2 linked regions of the Cricetulus griseus genome follow. The protein of the gene in region 2 purifies or fractionates together with the protein of the main gene of each other region. This does not show direct contact. Links are inferred from orthologs where the notes say so. Each region holds a gene or a part of one and is shown on either strand. Other genes may lie near its edges.

What was found.
Region 1: the proteins of Dnmt1 (region 2) and Ezh2 purify together in Homo sapiens (affinity purification with western blotting; 6 studies listed by BioGRID and IntAct, with this or other methods). This does not show direct contact. The link is inferred for Cricetulus griseus from reciprocal best matches to the Homo sapiens genes DNMT1 and EZH2.

The regions. Positions count from the first base shown.
Region 1 is NW_023276806.1:222,413,961-222,417,659, reverse strand, and holds the end of Ezh2 (histone-lysine N-methyltransferase EZH2), read right to left. Parts: intron 3,464-3,699; coding exon 3,382-3,463; intron 2,236-3,381; coding exon 2,155-2,235; intron 1,994-2,154; coding exon 1,909-1,993; intron 904-1,908; coding exon 843-903; 3' UTR 579-842; downstream 1-578. UniProt on the Homo sapiens protein: Polycomb group (PcG) protein. Catalytic subunit of the PRC2/EED-EZH2 complex, which methylates 'Lys-9' (H3K9me) and 'Lys-27' (H3K27me) of histone H3, leading to transcriptional repression of the affected target gene.
Region 2 is NC_048597.1:133,788,301-133,792,113, forward strand, and holds part of Dnmt1 (DNA (cytosine-5)-methyltransferase 1), read right to left. Parts: intron 3,582-3,813; coding exon 3,430-3,581; intron 3,125-3,429; coding exon 2,937-3,124; intron 2,847-2,936; coding exon 2,663-2,846; intron 792-2,662; coding exon 694-791; intron 545-693; coding exon 397-544; intron 1-396. UniProt on the Homo sapiens protein: Methylates CpG residues. Preferentially methylates hemimethylated DNA. Associates with DNA replication sites in S phase maintaining the methylation pattern in the newly synthesized strand, that is essential for epigenetic inheritance.

The sequences.
Region 1 (3,699 bases), on a different chromosome or scaffold from region 2:
AAAAAAAGGAAGGGGTAGATGTTGGGCCCCAGCCCCCACAGGGTCTCTGAGTTGCTTGTCGGCCAATAACCACAGGTGCATCCTGTTTTCCAGTCCTGGCTTACAGCCCCAGCCTCGCCCCACTAGCATCAACTATACCTGGGAAAATACTCACTCTTACACCTGGGGTTTCTCCACTGTGCTGTAAGTGTATATAAGGCAGCTCTCCCCCTGGAATAAAGTCAGACAGACGCACATAGCACAAGCGGCCAGACGTCTCTTCTAATTAAATCTCCAGGCTTTTGCCTGATACTTGGACTTAGTCGCGGCTCAGACACCACAATTTTACATATGGACAGCAGATTTGGAGGTTGAACAACTTTTCCTGGGTAACAAGCTGACTCACTTTCCCCGATGAATGCCCAGGACCCACACCAGTGTCATTCACTCAAGACTAAAAGGCAATGGTATCACTGTATCTAGGCAAACACAATGCCAATATGTTTATCATAGACAACTGGAAAACCAAAGCTAAGTTGTGTTTTCCCACTGAATATAGTCTTTCTAGAATCAGTTGATGACGCTCTATGACAAGTGACTCAAGAAGTTCAAGTATTCTTTATTCAAAGTTGAAAAATGTACCATACTGCATTATTGCAAAAATTCACTGGTACAAAACACTTTGCAGCTGGTGAGAAGGCAATAAAAAGTTGATTTTTTAAAACTCATTACTATAAATTACTGTTACAGTACTTTGCAAATTCAGAATTTCAAACTGCATTTTCTTTTTCTAAATTGCCCACAGTCCTCAAGGTTCCTGAAGCTAAGGCAGCTGTTTCAGAGGAGGGAAGAGGTAGGAGATGTCAAGGGATTTCCATTTCTCTTTCGATGCCCACATACTTCAGGGCATCAGCCTGGCTGTATCTGAAACAACATGAACAAGAAGTGACTACTGTCCAATATTAGGAAAACCAAGCCTGTTGATGGAGAGGATTATGTCATGACAACTCGCAGACCCCGTCACTCAGCTGCATTCATGAAGAGGAAGCATGCAACTGTCACTCCTCAGTCCCACAGCCCTCCCTGTGCCTTTGTGGCACTCTACTGAGCCAATTCCACATTGTGATGTCTGTGTCTAATACTGAAAAAGCAAAATTAAGATCTGGAAAGTCCCATCACTAAGGAAGCTGGACACCTTTGCCTGTAACCCTGGTCCACTGAGAGCATGCACGAGACACAGCATGAGGACCCTATTCCAATCCCCAGGTGTCACTCACTTAATTCTCTCCAGCTATACAGTACAATGTACTAGAACTAAGCAACACAGGCCCCCATTTCAGCAACTAAAGTTTCTAGGTGGGGTGGATATTCAGTTACAAGAATTCTCTAACTAGATATCTTTACTTGACCACATTTAAGTAACTGTTTTGTCATGTTTGTCCCACAGCCAGGTAGAACACACTGCCAGCCTGCCTGTCTCCTGCCTGTCTCCTGCCTGCGGAGCTCTACACTGTCAGTTGTACTAGCTTCCCCAAAAAGATTCCACAGTGACCACAGGGTAACGACAACAATTAAAGCAATGAAGATAGATACACAAACTGCACCAATGAGAAAGGGTGCCTTAGAATACCGACGTGAAGTGAGACATAAGACCCAGGGGTCACAGTCATCAACAGCCGGGAGTTCAACGCAGCTTCCTGCGTGGGGTTTGTTTTTTCAAATAAGCATTATATAATTAACACATGGCAACCTATATTGAAGGAGCATTTAACTCCCTTCTGGTGTCCACAGCAATCAATGACTGGCCAGTTCAAAGAATGCCCTCTCCAATGACAGCAGATCAGGCAAAGAACTTAACGGCCTTTGACCTCAGCCCACAGTACAGGAAGGGAAAGCCTGCAGATTATACTAAAAGTTTATTTTACCAACCTGTAATCAAAAAACAGCTCTTCACCAGTCTGGATAGCTCTCTTAGCAAAGATGCCTATCCTGTGATCACCGTTAACCATCATAACTGGAAGGAGAAACACGGGGCTGGTGAGCATGAAGACAGGCCATGGCGGGTAACTGACTTCACACAGCAGGTGCCCCAGAGATACTGAAGTCTGCTATCACTTGGCTGGTAAAAAAGGGAATTTTTTGCATCAAATTGGCAGTGCCAACCTAAAAGCCTACCTTTTGCATAGCAGTTTGGATTTACTGAATGATTAGCAAAACGAATTTTGTTGCCCTTTCGGGTTGCGTCCACCACAAAATCTAAAAAAACAAAAGAAAACAATCCAGTGACTAATTGCAACCATGGACTAAAGTTGTTATGGTTTTAGAAACAGGTCTTCAGGATTTGACCTCAAAAGCAAATAAAACATTCAATACAAAATGACATTTGGAAGAAAATACTATTCTACATTAAAATGAATCCCTGGTGGCTAAATATGGCTCTCAAATGCCACGACTTCTCAATTATATGTTGCTGAACAAAACATGCCTAAAAAAAAAAAAAAAAAAAAAAAAGGATTCCTGCCGAATTTCTGTGAATATCAAGAAGTAGGCATATTGAGATTTAAGATTAGAATATTTCTATGGAACATTTTCATAAAGAAGAAAGAAAACATGTTCTATTTGTCCAGCTGAAAGTTTCTCTGAATATCTGTATTACCAACCCTGGCTGAGGTAGCTGCTGCTTTCCTCACAACCTGTGGACAACACCCTGGGCCACAAGGTTTCCACATGCTGCCTGTGCTCCCAGATCAGAGATGGTGACTAACCGGGTGCTGAAGCTACTCAGCCCCCAAATCCCAGGGAACACAAGACAAACTACAGCTGTGGGGGAGACAATGTCCCCTCACAGCCAGAGTGTCTGGGGCTCCTTGTTTCCTGCATATAACCCTTCTACTCCATGGGGACTTCCCCTCTCCTCACACATCCCTGAGCCTAGGCCTGGTGATAAAAAAATCCCAGGAGCTGTTCCTGTAGACACATGCCCCTTCCTGGCATCTTGCTGACTTCCAACCTGAAATGCTCAGCCAGCAATCAGATCCCAAACCACCTCCAAGGAGCTAAGTGCCTCCAGCTCAGCACACACCACTGTTCAAGGAGCTAAGTGCCTCTAGCTCAGAACACACCACTGTTCAAGGAGCTAAGTGCCTCCAGCTCAGAACACACCACTGTTCAAGGAGCCAAGTGCCTCCAGCTCAGAACACATCACTGTTCAAGGAGCCAAGTGCCTCTAGCTCAGAACATATCACTGTTCAAGGAGCTAAGTGCCTGCAGCTCAGAACACACCACTGTTCAAGGAGCTAAGTGCCTCTAGCTCAGAACATATCACTGTTCAAGGAGCTAAGTGCCTCCAGCTCAGAACACACCACTGTTCAAGGAGCTAAGTGCCTCCAGCTTAGCACGTACCGTTGTTCAAGTTGAAAAGGAAGCTGCACATATACTTGTCATACACTTTCCCTCTTCTGTCTGCTTCATCCTGAGAAATGATCTAGAAGGAAGACACAGGAGGAAATTGTTTGGAGTAAGTAGTCACACCTGTTAGGACATTTAAGGGCCAATGAACAGAATTTTGGTCCCTCTTGAGAATATCAAGGTGCCACAGTAGCCAAATTCTCTTCTCTGGTGTACAACAGTGAAGAATTTTTAAATGTTATTATATCTATTAATTTATGGGAAGATGCTTGTACACTCGTGCCCCGGTGTGTCTGAAGTCAAAAGACAACT
Region 2 (3,813 bases):
GCCAGACTTGGAAGACAGAGCAAGGTAGATCTCGGAGTTCGAGGCCAGCCTGGTCTACATTAGGAGTTCCAAGACAGGCAGAGCTTACGGAGAAACCCTATCTCAAAAAACAAAAAAACCCAAACCTGACATGGTGGCATAATGTGTCTATAACTTTAGCCCTTGAAGTGGAAACAGAGCGGCGTGAAGTGTACAAGTACATGGGCTGCCCAGGCTACAAAGGCAGCTCAGATTTGCCAATGAGGCTGATACGGCTCAGTTGTAGAGCTCCAGCCTGAGGTCTTGCATTCCACTCTCAAGTGTTGGGAGGGAAGGGGACAGCAGCTGGGTAGCACCTGCTTCCTGGCTACAGGGCTAGGCTGAGGCGCAGCAGCACACAAGAGGAAGAGGCCTTACCTTCAACGGCTGTCCCAGCCAGGAGATTCTATCCTTGTTCTGTTTCTTTTTCTTCCCTTGATGCATCTTTTTGGGCGATGGCACCTCTGGGATGTCATCATCAACTTCCTCATCATCATCTGCCTCCTTCACAGCCAAGTTAGGACACCTGCAGAACATACACCACTGCCAACCCAAGGGAGAAGCATCCCGCCCACCAGCTCCGCACCGCACCTCGTCACCACAGGACACTGCAGTACAGTTGCTCCAGCTGCCCTGGCTTCTCTTGTCGGAAGAATGGAACATAGCACAGCCTACCTCCTGTTGAGGCAAGCCTGTTTACTCCGTCCAGTGCCACCAAACTTAACCATATCCTTGCAGGCCTTGCACTTCCCACACTCAGGCTGCTGACAGACCTGAAAAATATTAAAAGGGTTGATCAACCAGCCATTCATAACTAGGAACTTTGAGTTTGTTGTGTTTCTGAGACAAGGTCTCTCTACATAGTTCTGGCTGACCTAGAAGAACTCAATGTAGACCAGGCTAGCCTCAAGCTCAGACCCTCCTGCCTCTACAGACAAATGCTGGGAATTAAGGTGCGTCACCACACCCAACCCAAACTTTCAAAAATATATGCATGCTCAGGGCCAGTGAGATGTCTCAGTGGGTAAAGGAGCTTGCTGCCAAACCTCCCAAGCCAAGTTCAATGCCCAAGACCCACAGCAACATAGAAAACAAACTCCACAAAGTTACTTCTGACCTCCACATGTACACAGCAGCCTGTGTGCACACCGTCACCAGTAAGACATACTGCATCCATGCTGAGCATTTTAGATTTTTCCCACCCATTCCCTAAGGGATACAGCATGACAACTGCACAGACTTAACCTTTGTTAGGTATCAAGTCATCCAGCTATGACTCAGGGCCCTGTGACAGATATGCACAGGTGCCAACACTGTACCCTTAGAAGGGTCCTCTGCATCTGAGTATTTGAAGGTACACAGGGTGCTGAGTATCCTAGAAACTCACCAACAGCTCTGTTACACATCTACCAATGTCCCCAACTGTCACTGAGGAGTCAGTGGGGACAGCCAATAACAAAAACAGCATGAGAACAAGGTAACAAAAGGGCTACCAAGCACCCAGCTCCCTTGTTCACTTTAAAAGGGATTCACATTAGGTACCAGGACACCGAGAAAAAGTCAAAGCATGATGAGGACAGGGCACCCTGAGGAGGGCTGCCACGAGAAAAGGCTGAGCACTACTGTCGGCATGGGGACCAGCCAGGTTCTACTGCACCCAGGGAATGTCGAAACAGATTGAAACCTGAGCTGTTACAGGGTTAGAGTGACAGCCTCTAAAAACCCCAGCAGTCCATTGGGTACTAACATGTAAAAGTCTCTCTCAGAGCTCTCAGGATGCCCAAGTCCCTTTTACAGCCTGAGTCAAGGTGAGCCCCAAAAGCTGGTGTCAGGACACTGACATCACAGGGCTAGGCATGGCAGTGCAGTACCTAGATGCCCAGCTCTCAGCAGGCAGAGGAAGGAGCATCAGCAGTTTCAGGATAGCCTTGTCTACATAGCTGCCTCAGAATACACATGCACACACTGGGCAGTGGTGGTACACACCTTTAGTCGCAGCAACTTGGGAGGCAGAGGCAGGGGGATCCGAGTTCAAGGCCAGCCTGGTCTACAGAGTGAGTGCCAGGACAGACTCCAAAGCTACACAGTGAAATTCTGTCTTGAAAAACAAAATACATGTGCACATGCAGGCCATGGTTCAGGATATAAGTTAATTTTTCAAACAGTCTCCTGTAGACCAGGGTGACCTCAAACTCACTATGCAACTGAGAATGACCTTGAAATCCTGATCTCCCCTGCCTCCACTTCTCAAGTGCCTGGATCACAGGCTTGCGTCTCCAGCTTACCCACATTGAGTTTTGTTTTAATGTGACATAGGTTGATTCCAAGGCCATCTATATGAAGAGTATTCACAAGAGCCAGGCATAGTGGCACAGGTCTATAAACCCAGCTCTTGGAAGAATTAGGTAGGATAGAGACTTCAGCCTGGGAGTGGCTCTGGGGTCAGCCGTCTCTCAGCACCCACAGGACATGGAGGTAGAGCTAATGTGTCTTAGGAAACCAGGCTATATAGCCAATGGCATCACCCACATCGAAGGCCCTGGACACACTTGTTTACTTCAGCCCATCTGTCCAGAGTTCTGACTCCTCACATACATCTAAGAAGACCCAAGGATGGCTCAGGGGAGTGGCTAGGCCTGCTCACCTCACAGACACCACACCGGCGACGCTTAAAGGCATTCTCCTTGTCTTCCATATCATCCTTCTCAATCTGCTCTGAGAAGAAAGTGTCAAAGATCTGGTAGACCAACTTGGTGGTGGTGGCTTTTGTGGGCCCTTTGTCCTTCTCCTTAGCAGAAACATCGATCTTACGGCGTCTATCTGCTCGCCTGAGAGAGATGGCTGCCATTTTAGGGAACCAGACACAGACTGCCTTCTCTGGTCTCAAGTCTCCCATCCAATCCTTACTACATCCTTACCTCTGTCCCAGGGTGACCCCAGCCAACCCGATCAGGGCTCTCATGCACGGAGACAAGAAGATGGGTGTCTCATCATTGTCCTTGGCATCATTGTAACTCTCTACCTGATTGACCACAAACTCGGCATGGCGAAGGAGGGAGTCCTCTGTGAACCGGTTCAGGTTAAGGGCAGAAGGAGGGACAGTGGTCTTTGGGAGAGAGAAAGAACAAAACAGATGTTTCTAATATTTTGCCTCCTTGTAATACTGGGGGAGGTGGACCCTAGTATTTCAAGTATGCTAGGCAAGCAATGTACCAAAAGCTGCACACCCCCAGACCCAAATTGGGGTTTCTAGGCAGGGACTCTACAACTGAGCCACACCCCCAGGCTTGTTGCATTAATCTACCAAACTTCTACTGGTGGAAGTTTGATTCTGAATGCAGTTTTCTCTTGCATCATCCATACTATATGGGGATACAAACCCCTCCCTCTTAGAGAAGGCAAAGCTCTCACCTGGATCTTATTTATTAGGTCTTCATAGATGGCGTGAGGATTGTCTCTCAGGAACTCAACCACAATCTTACTGATGTAAATTTTCTCCTGCATCAGCCCAAATATCGGTGCATAGTCTGGGCTGGGTTCCATCAGAATGTACTCTGCAAATGCTGGGAGGGACATATGACTTGGCTTTAAAGAGCAGTCCAGCTAGGTGATTGTTAGCATTTCTGTCTCCTCCAACACCTGCCTTACGCAGACAGCTGTTTGGTGTGTTTAATGAGGTCTGTCACGTTGCTTAGGCTAGCCCCAAACTCCTCAGTCTGAATAGTTAGGACAAGTTATCTGCTATATTCAGCAGGTAATACATTTTAAAAAGCTGTTTGAGGGCCAGTTGAGATG